Linked DNA regions of Elephas maximus indicus. The protein of the gene in region 1 purifies or fractionates together with the protein of each later gene. This does not show direct contact. Links are inferred from orthologs where the notes say so. Each region holds a gene or a part of one and is shown in the gene's direction. Other genes may lie near its edges. The genes, in order: CDK9, DDX5 and DDX21.

Region 1 (3,744 bases):
GCTAGCGGCTGGTCATTGGGCAGAGCTAGAGGAAGAAATGGAGGCTCCTAGCGCTAGGAAGATACCAAGAAGATGCTGGGAAAGGCATAGGCAGCATGGGGATGTGGGGAAGTGTATGGTCAGGAGGGGGACGGTGGTGAGTGGGAAGCTTAGTGCCTGGCAGGAGGACAGCATACCTCAGGTAGCACCACTGCTATCCTCCTGAGCATACTGTAAATAGCCAGAGTCAAAAGAATCCTCGTGCAGGTTCAGAGAGACCAAGTTCCAGCTTTGCCACTGTGTGACCTTGGGCAAATGACCTCATCTCTCTGAGCCTCAGAGTCCTTCTCTGTAAAATGGGTTAGTGATCCTGACTGCGGGGGTTGTTGCCAGGATTCAGCGTGAGCGCCCAGCACTTCTTGAGCACACGGGGGTCCTCAGTAAATGTTAGCTATTTTCATGGGCCCAACCGGCTCTGGCGCAGCACGGATGGGGTGGGGGCGCTGTGATTCTTATTCCTGCCTCCCAGAGAACCAGGGGTACAGGGCCCGAGGCCGGGGCGTTGCTAGCTCGCCGCCTCCAGTGTCGCCGCGCCCCCTGGCGGCCGTCGGTTGCCATGTCAACGACGGGTGGCGGGGGCCGGGGGGGCGGTGGCGGGGGCCGTTCACTCCTCCCAGGGCCGGAGGCCGCTCCCTTGGCGCCTCCCGCCTTCGCCTCTGGCGGGTAACTCCGAGCCGTGAAAGAAGGGGCTCCCCGTCACAGCCTGCCGGGGTGGTAAACTGAGGCACGCGGTGGGCCGCCTCGCAGCCAGGTGTCGGGCGCGGAGCCCCACCTCCGAAAGCGGGGGAGGGGCCGCAGGCGGTGACGCGCCGAGGGCGGCCGGCGGACAGCGGGCGGGCGGGCGGGCGGGCGGCGACAGCGGCGGCGGCGGCAGGTGCGGCCGCGGAGGGTGGGAGGGAGGGGGCGGGTAGAGGGAGAAGGGAGGGCGAGGCCAGGGCACCTCCCCCTTTATAACGCGCCCCCTTCGGGGCTCTCGGGCCGCCTCCTCGTCGGCTCTTTCTGCCTCGCCCCCTAACCCGGACGCCCCGAGCCGGGGCCCGGCCAGGGATCCCCCAGGCCGCGGCTCGGGGACCGCCCCTCCGCTCGCCGCCCCGCGCAGCCCGGCGGAGGCGGTGCCGTCGGAGGAGGAGGAGCAGGGCACTGCGGCTGGCCCCGGATCGGGCGCCAGAGCGGCAAGCAGCTTCGGCAGCAGCAGCGGCCCGGGCCAATGCAGCGGGACGCACCGCTCAGAGCCCCAGCTTCGGCGCCCCGGCTCCCCGCGCCCCCGATCGGGGCCGTTGCCGGCAGTGGCGGCGGCGGCGGCGGCGGCGGCGGGGGCAGCGGCGGCGGCGGCGGCGGCGGCGCCTCTGCAGCTCCAGCTCCCTCTAGCCTCCCGGGAACTACAAGTCCCAGGGGGCCCGGCGGCGGGCGGCGGGCGGAAGAGGCGGGGTCTGTGCCGCGAGGCCGGAAGTGGCCGTGGAGGCGGAAGTGGCGCGGCCGCGGAGGGGCCTGGAGCACAGCAGCAGGTCCAGGAGTGGGAGCGGCGGCGGTGGCTGGAGGTGGTGGCGGCGCGCTGGAGGCGGCCATGGCAAAGCAGTACGACTCAGTGGAGTGCCCCTTTTGTGATGAGGTGTCCAAATATGAGAAGCTCGCCAAAATCGGCCAAGGCACCTTTGGGTAAGACTGGGCCCCGAGGGACTGGGGCCCCGGGGCCAGCACTCCCCAGGGCCGACGTGGGAGCGTCGGGAGCTGGGCCTGAGTTGGCTGGGAAGCCGCTGAGTCCCGGGCATGCCCCCTGGTCTCGCAAGGCCGGGCCGCATCCCGCCGGGGCCTGACGGGGCCGGCTGGCGGGGAGGAGCCTGAGGCCTGGGGTGTGGGACGGCGAGGGGTTGCAGAGAGGAACTGGGGAGGAAAGCGGGACCTCCGGAAGGCGCTTGGGTAAAGAGGGGGGACTGAGGGAGGGAAGCGGAGGCCCGGCAAGGGGCCGGAGACCCAGGCCGGTGAGGTGGCCGAGTGCCGGGTGCCCGGCCGAGCCCCGCCCGGGAGTCTCCCTGTCCCTGCCACACTTCCTCTCGTGGGGGAGGGGCGAGCCCTGCGGAAACTGCCTCATCAGCCCTCAGTGTCCCCTCTCGGCCTGCAGGGAGGTGTTTAAGGCCAAGCATCGCAAGACCGGCCAGAAGGTGGCCCTGAAGAAGGTGCTGATGGAGAACGAGAAGGAGGGGGTAAGTGCGGCCCGCCAGCATCACAGAGCAGCGGGTTTGGGTTTCCAGCCTGCTTTTTCCAGGAGTCTCCTGCTGAGGTTGAATTTTTGTTAGTAGTTTCGGAAATTGGCACATTTCAGGGAATTTGGCCTCGAAATTAAGTCTTTTAATTAAAATATCTTAAACATTTGTTTAAGTAGGGCTGAGTCCAGGAGGGGGAGCTCATGCTTGCACTGCATGCACTTTGGTTCAGAGTTTAGAAGCTTTAAAAATTGTTTTCTTTAGTATATGATTTTGTTTAATGTAAAAAATGTATGCATATGGCTTTAAAAAGTGAGTAATATTCAAAGAAGTGTGTTGGAAAGGAGCATCCCACCCAATCTTAGCTCTCATCCCACTCCCCAGAAACCAAGTTCTCATCAAAGATGTTTTAAGGTTATTTTTGTGACCACAGAGCAAGTTAAACACAGGCATAGAGCTAACACATGAAAATAGCAGGAGACAATAGCGTATATAGTGATGAATAGTAAAGAATTTGTGTAAAATAAGGGTATTAAGTTCATTGTCTCAAACCAGCTCTTTGAGGTGTGCATGCTATTATCATACCCCTTTTACAGATAAGGGATCTGAGTGAGCTTATATCAGAGCCCATGTTCTTAACTCTGTCTTTCAATCTGTATGCCTTAGTAGAGACCCCAGGACCAGTTCCTTGGCCCGCAGCTCTCTGACTCACTTTTGACCTCTTATCGTCTTTTTTCCCCCCAGTTTCCCATCACAGCCCTACGGGAAATCAAGATTCTCCAACTTCTGAAACATGAGAATGTGGTCAACTTGATTGAGATCTGTCGAACCAAAGGTATGTTTGGATCTCATCCTTCGTTTTTAGATGGAGAAAGTGGGGCTTATAGCCTAAGGTTTTGTTTGTAAAGTTAGAACTGGAGGGCCTTAAAATGCTTCTTCTTAGGCAGTGGTGATTGCTTTCTTTGGTTCTCTCTCGTCGTAGCTGGTTCTTCCCCAGGGCCTACCACACCACCTGGCCCAGGGAAGCACTCAACATATATTTTGCCAGCGAAGGAATGAATAAATGGATGCTCTGGAGGACATGGGTGGTCCATGGATTAGAGGGAGTAGGAGCTGGTTATGGGGAAATGGGTTGCATATGGGATTTTTGACTCTTCTTCCTGTCCTTCACCCCAATTCTTTCCATCTCAGCATCTCCCTATAACCGTTGCAAGGGCAGTATATACCTTGTGTTTGACTTCTGCGAGCATGACCTTGCTGGGCTGCTGAGTAATGTCTTAGTCAAGTTCACACTGTCTGAGATCAAGAAGGTCATGCAGATGCTGCTCAATGGCCTGTACTACATCCACAGAAACAAGGTAGGGGCCGGCGGAGGAGAGAGAGACTAAGGCCTTTGCTCCCACTGTGGGATGGTTGTGGCCAGAGGATCCAGGGGAGCCTGGCTGAGCCTGCACTCCTGTCTTTCCTGCAGATCCTGCACAGGGACATGAAAGCAGCTAATGTG
Region 2 (3,744 bases), on another chromosome or scaffold:
TACGGCCTCAGTCCTCGCAATGTAAGGACATCGACAGCCAGATACTCCAGAGAAGTCGGGAGACGATCTTTTCTGACTGCTGTTTTTGCGATCTGCATGCGGGTGTGTTGGCGGCTTCGTCAAAGAGCCCTCTCTCCCCCACCCCAAATCGCTGTTCCACCGTCACGAAGCAGAGAGCGGTGCTGGGACTCTTATCTCTGGCACCCGCAGACTGCGACGGGATATGTGACAATCATGAATCTCGCAGGCAGCCTAGACTTAGGTTCGGCCCGGCCCGAGGCCTCAAAGTGGCCTGGGGCGTTCGGGGAGTCGGACCGCTTCACTCCACACACAGCACGGCGCCAGGGCGAGACTCACCAGGCTCTGAGCCGGCCATGTCGCGGAAGCAGGTCGTCGCCGGGCTCCCAGCCGGGCGCGTGGGAGACGGTGTCCTGGAAGGGCCGCACAGCACAGACACACAAAAACGAGAGGGAAGTGTGGATAAAGAGGTGTAAAAGAGGGAGGGACGTTAAAACGGCTTCTCGCTGCTGATTGGTCATTGGAGGAGCACTCGCTTTCACCGCACGTGCCTCGGCGGCGGTTTGCGGGATCTAGATAACATTCTCCGCGGGCAAGAGCCTGCCAAGAGGTTCTTAAGTCGGTGAGTTTGACAGGTTAGGTCACCCACCCGCCTTGACCGGTCACCGGGGGAATTACAACGACACTTCCGGTGAGTTATTTGATTGTGTATTCCTCCGCTGACTGGGAAGTAGTGCGGCAATTCACCCGGTGGGCGGGGAAGCCAGTCACGTGATAAGATCAAGCCCCGCCTTCCCTTGTTTGGTTTTGGGCGTGAGGGCTGTTTGGAGACGTAAACATTTCCAGGTGGGGAGAGTAGGTTGTCCTGTAGTGGACGCTTGATTTTCTGGGTTGGACCTGGAAAAGGTTGAGGTGGATTGCTTAAGGTGTGTAAAGAGGAGAAAAAGGCGAAGTTTTAAGGAAATACAGGATGGGGCATTTCAGTGGCGGACGGGTCCAAATATGAAAGGGGAGAAAAACGTATGGCCCCAATGGATGGACTCGGAGGGGGAGGGGTGAGAACATGGCGGATTCCGGAACGCAGGCGGGCGTTGCGGCCTCTGCGCAGGGGGCGGGGCGATTAGGTCATAGAGCGGTTCCCAGCATCCTTTGCGGTGGAGGAGGCGGTCCAGACTATAAAACCGGCTGCCGGGAGGCGGCCGGCACCTCATTCATTTCCATCGGCCTTTCGTTATTCAGCTCTAGGTCTTGCTGTCGCCGTCTCTCCGCCGCTGACGCCCACGCAAGGGTTCGCCGTCGCCGAAGCCACCCCTAAGAGACTCTCCGCACCGGCTTTTTTCGCTTCGTTCCCCACCAACCGCAACCATTGACGCCATGTCAGGTTATTCGAGTGACCGAGACCGCGGCCGGGACCGAGGGTGAGTATGGGAACCGACCTGTCAGGCCCGACGAGTGGGGGATGGGCGGGAAGTGGGTGGCGGGGGCGCCGCCATCGGCACATCGGCTTTTTCGGCCTACGCCGAGGTCTTCTTAGTTAAGGGTTTGCGCCGTTGTGGTAGTTTTCTAAAACCGGTTAGGGAGGACTTGCTTATTAACGGCCTTCAAGCTGCCTTTTTTTTCTCCCCCGCCCCTGGAGCGGGGGCGGCGCGCCCTCGGCGATTTTGCAGTTGGGAGAATTCGGAGGCGTGTATCGCGAGGGGGAGGAAAACGGGATGCCTCGGGGTGGATCAAGTAGCCTCGGTTAGATGCACCCTTCCGGGAGGTGTTTTAGGGGTTCAGGGAATTCTGTGGAAGCGAGGGGCCCGCTTCCGCAGCCATTGAGGCGGTGAAGGCAGGAGGGTGGCTGGCGCCGCCGGATTCGCCCATGTGGCTGCGCCGCGGGTACAAAATGCCGGCCTCCGACATGGCGGCGGCGCCTTTGTTACCCCGCCCGGCGGAGGAGCTCAAAATGGCAGCGTCGAGAAAATGTGGCGCAGAGAGAAATGCGAGACAAAGGGGAAAGCGCCGCCCCAGCGGGAACGCCGCCCGACCGACTCCGCCCGGGCGGGACTCCTCCCCCGGTAGTCGCCGGCTCCTCCTCCTTTTTTTCCTTGTGTTATATAATTTACCTACCTTGATGGGGAGCTTTCCCAAGGGACACCCCCAACCCCCAACTCGATTCCCTTGCATAAGGGTCCCCGAGGCACCGTCCCCGTTGTTTTCTTTTTATTATGTCTCTGTGTTATCGATTGTTAAAACCAAAGTTAAAAAATAGGGGTATAAATAACATTTGTCTTGGGCTTGTCCTTTTTTGTATCATTTCGTTTCCTGGATGTTTAATTTCTAAACTGGTGGGAACCACCATAGTTACAAGCTATTGTCTATCCATCTAATCGGAACTTCCAGCATTTTGGTAGCCAGTTTCTGACATAATAAGTTGGGGGCTGTTTAGTGTTCTTAATTATGTGTATTTGAGATGATAGCAACTGAGATACACAATGGTAACCCTGATTGTTGAATGACAGCTAAGTGTAGTTTTAGGCTTTGTGTTCCTTAAGTCTGATTTGAGTGAGCTTTAGCAGGTGCTAAGAGATGGTAAATAAGTCTTTCAGCCCATAGGTAGAGATTGGAAGTCTGAATTATTCTGTAATTTCAGGTTTGGGGCACCTCGATTTGGAGGAAGCAGGGCAGGGCCCCTGTCTGGAAAGAAGTTTGGAAATCCTGGGGAGAAGCTAGTTAAAAAGAAGTGGAATCTTGACGAACTGCCCAAATTTGAGAAGAATTTTTACCAAGAACACCCTGATTTGGCTAGGCGCACAGCGGTGAGTAATTTCATATGGCTTCATCAGGCTATGGAACCCAGTAACGGCTTCTGGTAATAAGAAGCTGAGTGCAAGTGTCTTGCAAATGACTAGATTTGGGGAGATTCATACCTTCCAAGTTGATAATAGGGGAAAGCTGTGTGATTCACTTTTGGAAACAGGTGGCTTTGAATTTTCCTTGGAACAGTTATCTTAGGATAATAGGTGGTTTTTACGTGTTTTAAATACGGTTTTTGTACATGAATCTAGATTTTAAAATCACTCACTTTAAAGTAGCAAATCGTAAGTTTAGGGGCTTTCTAGTTGCATATTTAGTTAGGGTGGGTTGTTAGGAGACTTACGAGATTAATGTTGTTTTGCAGCAAGATGTGGAGACATACAGAAGAAGTAAGGAAATTACAGTTAGAGGCCACAACTGCCCGAAGCCAGTTTTGAATTTTTATGAGGCAAACTTTCCTGGTAAGTGTTTGTTCTGAATTTCACATTTACTATTTCTTTGTCTTGGCATTACTGAGTTTTGTTAAATTGCTGTCGCTATTTACAGCAAATGTTATGGATGTGATTGCAAGACAGAACTTTACTGAACCTACTGCTATTCAAGCTCAGGGATGGCCAGTTGCTTTAAGTGGATTGGATATGGTTGGAGTAGCACAGACTGGATCCGGGAAAACGTTGTCTGTAAGTTTTGAGAGAGCACTTTTGCATACCCTGTGGTATGTGCTAGAGAAAATGGCTTTGGAATTAAAAGACCCTGGGAGTATTTTAACAAAACTTCTGTTTTTTCCTCTGTTTTTCCCCACCCACAACAGTACTTGCTGCCTGCCATCGTCCACATCAATCATCAGCCGTTCCTAGAAAGAGGTGATGGGCCTATTGTAAGTATGTACTTCATGAAGTTCCATAGTAAGGAGGATATAGAAATTTG
Region 3 (3,744 bases), on another chromosome or scaffold:
TTGTTTTTCCAAGCACTTGTGACACATCTGTTTTAATAGCTCTTATTTACTGTGCACTACTAAACCCATTTATTTAATTTTCTCAACAGATCAGGTAGGTTTTGTTATCTGTTCCATGCATGAGAAACTCAGGTTCAAACTAAGTAAGGTGTCAAAAATCCCAGACAAATAGTGGCAAAGGTAGGTTTCAATGCCAGATATGATGAATTGTCTCCCAATACTCTGGGTCACTAGTTCTTCAGAAAATTTAAAACAGTCACAGATCACTCAATGGGTCACTTTTCCTCAACTGCTTGCATATGTATATTGTTTGATACGCAAGACTGGGGACCCCTGTTATTTTCTAATTGAGGGCTACCGCGGTCAGCAAAGGCGCTCCTTGGAAACTCTATGGTGCAGTTCTCCTCTGACCTATAGGGTGGCTATGAGTTGGAATCGACTCGATGGCAATGGCTTTTTTTTTTTTTTTTTTTCCCGGTGGTTTGGGTGCCTTCTACTGGTCCCAAAGCTTGTGCCTTCAGAACAATGAACCCTTGTCTATCTCCTCCACCAGTCTATAAAGCTGCGCGGACAAGGCTTGTGTATTAACTGCTTCTGAATCCTAGCCCTTCTCTGCACACCTGACAGTGAATGCTCAGGGGATGTTTGTTAAGTGAACTGAACGTATGAATAAATTCTGGCGCTTACCTAGGCTCGTTAAGTGGCGGCGTCACCATTCGGAGTCTTCAGAGATGATCAGTCGCGCGCGTTTGTATGTGAAAGGGCTTTACAAATTTCTGCGATCTTAGTATACAGAAGAGCACTGAAAAGTCTCCATCTATCAGGCTGGGGTTGGCGAGAACAGTGTTTGAAAGAAAATACAAAGCTAACCTTTGTGGTCCTTCCCAGCTCTACCCTTTTGTAGGTGCCCCTCGTCCAGCCGCATTACGTGGTCAACTCCCTAAGTAACCCCAGGTAATGTCTGCGGCTGGTGACATAAAACTACCACGTGGTCCGCTCAGCCTCGCTGTGCGACCAGTTTCCGCCCAAAATGCTTTGCTACCGGAAGTGACGCAAGCTGGGTGGACTAAAGAGGTACTTCTGTCTCTTCCTCTCCACGCGGCTGACGAGCCCGGTTGGGTTATCGAGGTTGTCCTGAGTGATGCCGGGAAAACTCCTTAGTGACGCCGCTTTGGAATCAGACACGACCATGGGAAAGCTGGAGATACCGCCAAAGCAAAATGAGAAGGTGCCGCGGGGGGTTGAGGGACTCAGAGCAAGACAGGGCGAGGGGCTGGGCGCTGAGGACGGTGGGGCCCTGGAATCCGGGGAGGTGGCCGGGCTGGGCGGCGAGGACCTGGCGCGTCCGGAGTCGGGGCAGCCATCTCGGCAAGGGAGCCCCTAGGGAAGGTGTTGCCCGCCCGATGGAGCCGTCTCCGCCGCGCACCGAACTCTCCCTTTCAGCTCGGACGCATCCACCAGTCCTGGGGAGTTTTGGCAGCCAGGCCCGGGCAGATCGCAGCTGGAAAGCGGCCTGGGTGTCGCACGTGGTCCCCGGAGTCTGGGCTCCCGCATCTGATGGCGCGGAGTCGGAAGTTCACCGCCAGGACCCCGTTGGTTCAGACTTAATTCGGGTGTTAGCGTGCTCGAAGGCGAATTGTAAATTAAGTCCAGGCAGTAGGGACTGACCTGTGAGATCTTAAACCTATCTACCACGTGGGGAGGGATCTTTAGAGGACCGGCAAATGCTGGCAGCGTTAGCAGTGAAATTTTTTTTGCCGTAGTTAAGGGAAGTAGTTTGTTTTCTGAGAAGCAGCCCTTTGAAGACCAGGCATTTTAATTACTCCTAATATTTATTGATCAGATTTTCCGTGGAAATGTAAAGAGCCGTGCTGTGGTGCTAACTGTACACCATTTTTTAATATAGGCCAGCAGTGCAATAGTGTTTAGTTATCTTGACAGCGTCTGCTTTTTTGGTGTCGATTTCTACACAGTGATTTAATTTGTGCCTGAGTTTCTGTTCTGAGATAAGGTCAGTGGGAATGCAGATTGGCCCTGAACTTATTTTGTACATGACTTAGAGTACCTTTTCCCAGTTGTTTCTGAGTCTTTTTGATGGGGAGCTCTTACAGAATCAGCATTTTGGCATTGTGGGAAGACAAGGGAGCACAAACTTTTCTTCACAGTGGGGAGTTAGTGGTCCTGGTTTGCTTACTCTGCCTCAGTCAGTGTGTTCAGTGTGGGATGCTCAAATTAGGAGGGCACGACCAAACTCCATTATGTTCCAAAAGAGGCTCGTTGAGATGGGAAACCCACTCTTTTGGTGAGAAGAAGGGATGAAAGGACTGGAGAAAAGAAGCCTTTAGAGACCAGATTCCCACCCCCTAGTACCATCTTGTGAGAGAGAGGTTACCCCTAATCCGTGATTCTAGAACAGGGGCCAGGCCTGGAACCCATACCTGGAGTTTAAGGGAGGAAGATATCAACTCAGTATAATAGTGCTGAGGCTGTGCCAGGCTACAACACCTGTCAAAGTCTGACTGTAATAAGTTTTCAATAATGTGAAAGGTTAGGGTCAAATTTCAGTTAGCCATATCTACCTGTCTAGTTTGGTTTTAGGGTTTCATCCCTTCCACTTATTTGTAACATGTGCTGTTTTCGTATGTTTTGTTTTACTTTAATTTAGGCACATCATTTTTATGCATGGGGTGATAAGTTGTGGGGTTTTACAGCCTTTTGGTTCATAAAGTATCTTTATGTAAGTTCATTTGCACTTGAAATAGATAGGCAAGGCAGATATTATTAATCCCTGTTTACCTGTAGAGGAATTCTAGTAGGTACAAAGAAAAGAAATCTGCTTAACATCCATCTATAGGCATTTTAGGACCCTGTTATTCTGTCAGTGTTACATTTGAATGTACTCGATTGCTTTAGTTTAGAGCTGTTAGAGCATCCCAAATCTCTTACGAACATTTGATTTATAGACTTGTACGACCAGCATGAATTGAATAGTTACTAAGAGCCACTCTTGATTTTCCAAGCTAATGAAACTACGGATGTATACTTAGCTTCATATAGCTAAGAAGTGGTGCTAAAAAAAAATACTAAGTTTGATCTTTGCCTTATTGTAAGATGAAAAGTACAAACACTGAAATGCCAAAAAGAAACTTTCATTCTTCATAATTATCAGTAATCTTAAAGTCATCCAGAAGTGATGTATTATGCAGATGTATAGGAGCTTCGTTCAATGTTCAAATTTCTGTTAATTTTTTTAGAAAGCTAAGAAAGAGAAGCCAAAATCTAATAAGACTGAAGAGTCAGCAGACGAAAAGGAGGAAACTAGTTCCCCCAAAGCTAAAAAAATGAAAAAGAAAGCAGAGCCTTCTGAAGTTGAAATTAATTCTCCCAAATCCAAAAAGGTAAAAAAGAAAGAAGAGCAATCTCAAGATGACGCTATGTCTCCTAAAACCAAAAATGTAAAAAAGAAAAAGGAACCTGTTGAAAATCAAGTTGGGTCTCCTAAAATCAAAAAAGCGATAAAAAATGAGGAGCCTTCTGAAAAAGAAATGGGTGCTCCTAAGCCTAAGAAGATAAAGAAAGAAAAGGAAATGAATGGAGAAATTGGAGAGAAAAAGCCCAAACTGAAGAATGGACTTCCTCATTCTGGACCTGCCTCTAACTCCAGTGAAGCCACAAGTGAAGAGAGTAATAGTGAACTAGAACAGGTAAGTTTGTATTTTAATAGATAGGGTGTATTTTTCCTTC

What was found.
Region 2: the proteins of CDK9 (region 1) and DDX5 purify together in Homo sapiens (affinity purification with western blotting; 3 studies listed by BioGRID, with this or other methods). This does not show direct contact. The link is inferred for Elephas maximus indicus from reciprocal best matches to the Homo sapiens genes CDK9 and DDX5.
Region 3: the proteins of CDK9 (region 1) and DDX21 purify together in Homo sapiens (affinity purification with mass spectrometry; 3 studies listed by BioGRID and IntAct, with this or other methods). This does not show direct contact. The link is inferred for Elephas maximus indicus from reciprocal best matches to the Homo sapiens genes CDK9 and DDX21.

The regions. Positions count from the first base shown.
Region 1 is NC_064827.1:78,876,609-78,880,352, forward strand, and holds the start of CDK9 (cyclin-dependent kinase 9), read left to right. Parts: upstream 1-1,382; 5' UTR 1,383-1,603; coding exon 1,604-1,695; intron 1,696-2,158; coding exon 2,159-2,240; intron 2,241-2,984; coding exon 2,985-3,075; intron 3,076-3,431; coding exon 3,432-3,598; intron 3,599-3,711; coding exon 3,712-3,744. UniProt on the Homo sapiens protein: Protein kinase involved in the regulation of transcription.
Region 2 is NC_064837.1:55,714,359-55,718,102, reverse strand, and holds the start of DDX5 (probable ATP-dependent RNA helicase DDX5), read left to right. Parts: upstream 1-1,207; 5' UTR 1,208-1,392; coding exon 1,393-1,436; intron 1,437-2,653; coding exon 2,654-2,819; intron 2,820-3,181; coding exon 3,182-3,278; intron 3,279-3,363; coding exon 3,364-3,497; intron 3,498-3,628; coding exon 3,629-3,694; intron 3,695-3,744. Other genes in the region: CEP95 (centrosomal protein of 95 kDa), read right to left, coding at 358-376. UniProt on the Homo sapiens protein: Involved in the alternative regulation of pre-mRNA splicing; its RNA helicase activity is necessary for increasing tau exon 10 inclusion and occurs in a RBM4-dependent manner. Binds to the tau pre-mRNA in the stem-loop region downstream of exon 10.
Region 3 is NC_064834.1:18,985,525-18,989,268, reverse strand, and holds the start of DDX21 (nucleolar RNA helicase 2), read left to right. Parts: upstream 1-1,058; 5' UTR 1,059-1,141; coding exon 1,142-1,228; intron 1,229-3,254; coding exon 3,255-3,704; intron 3,705-3,744.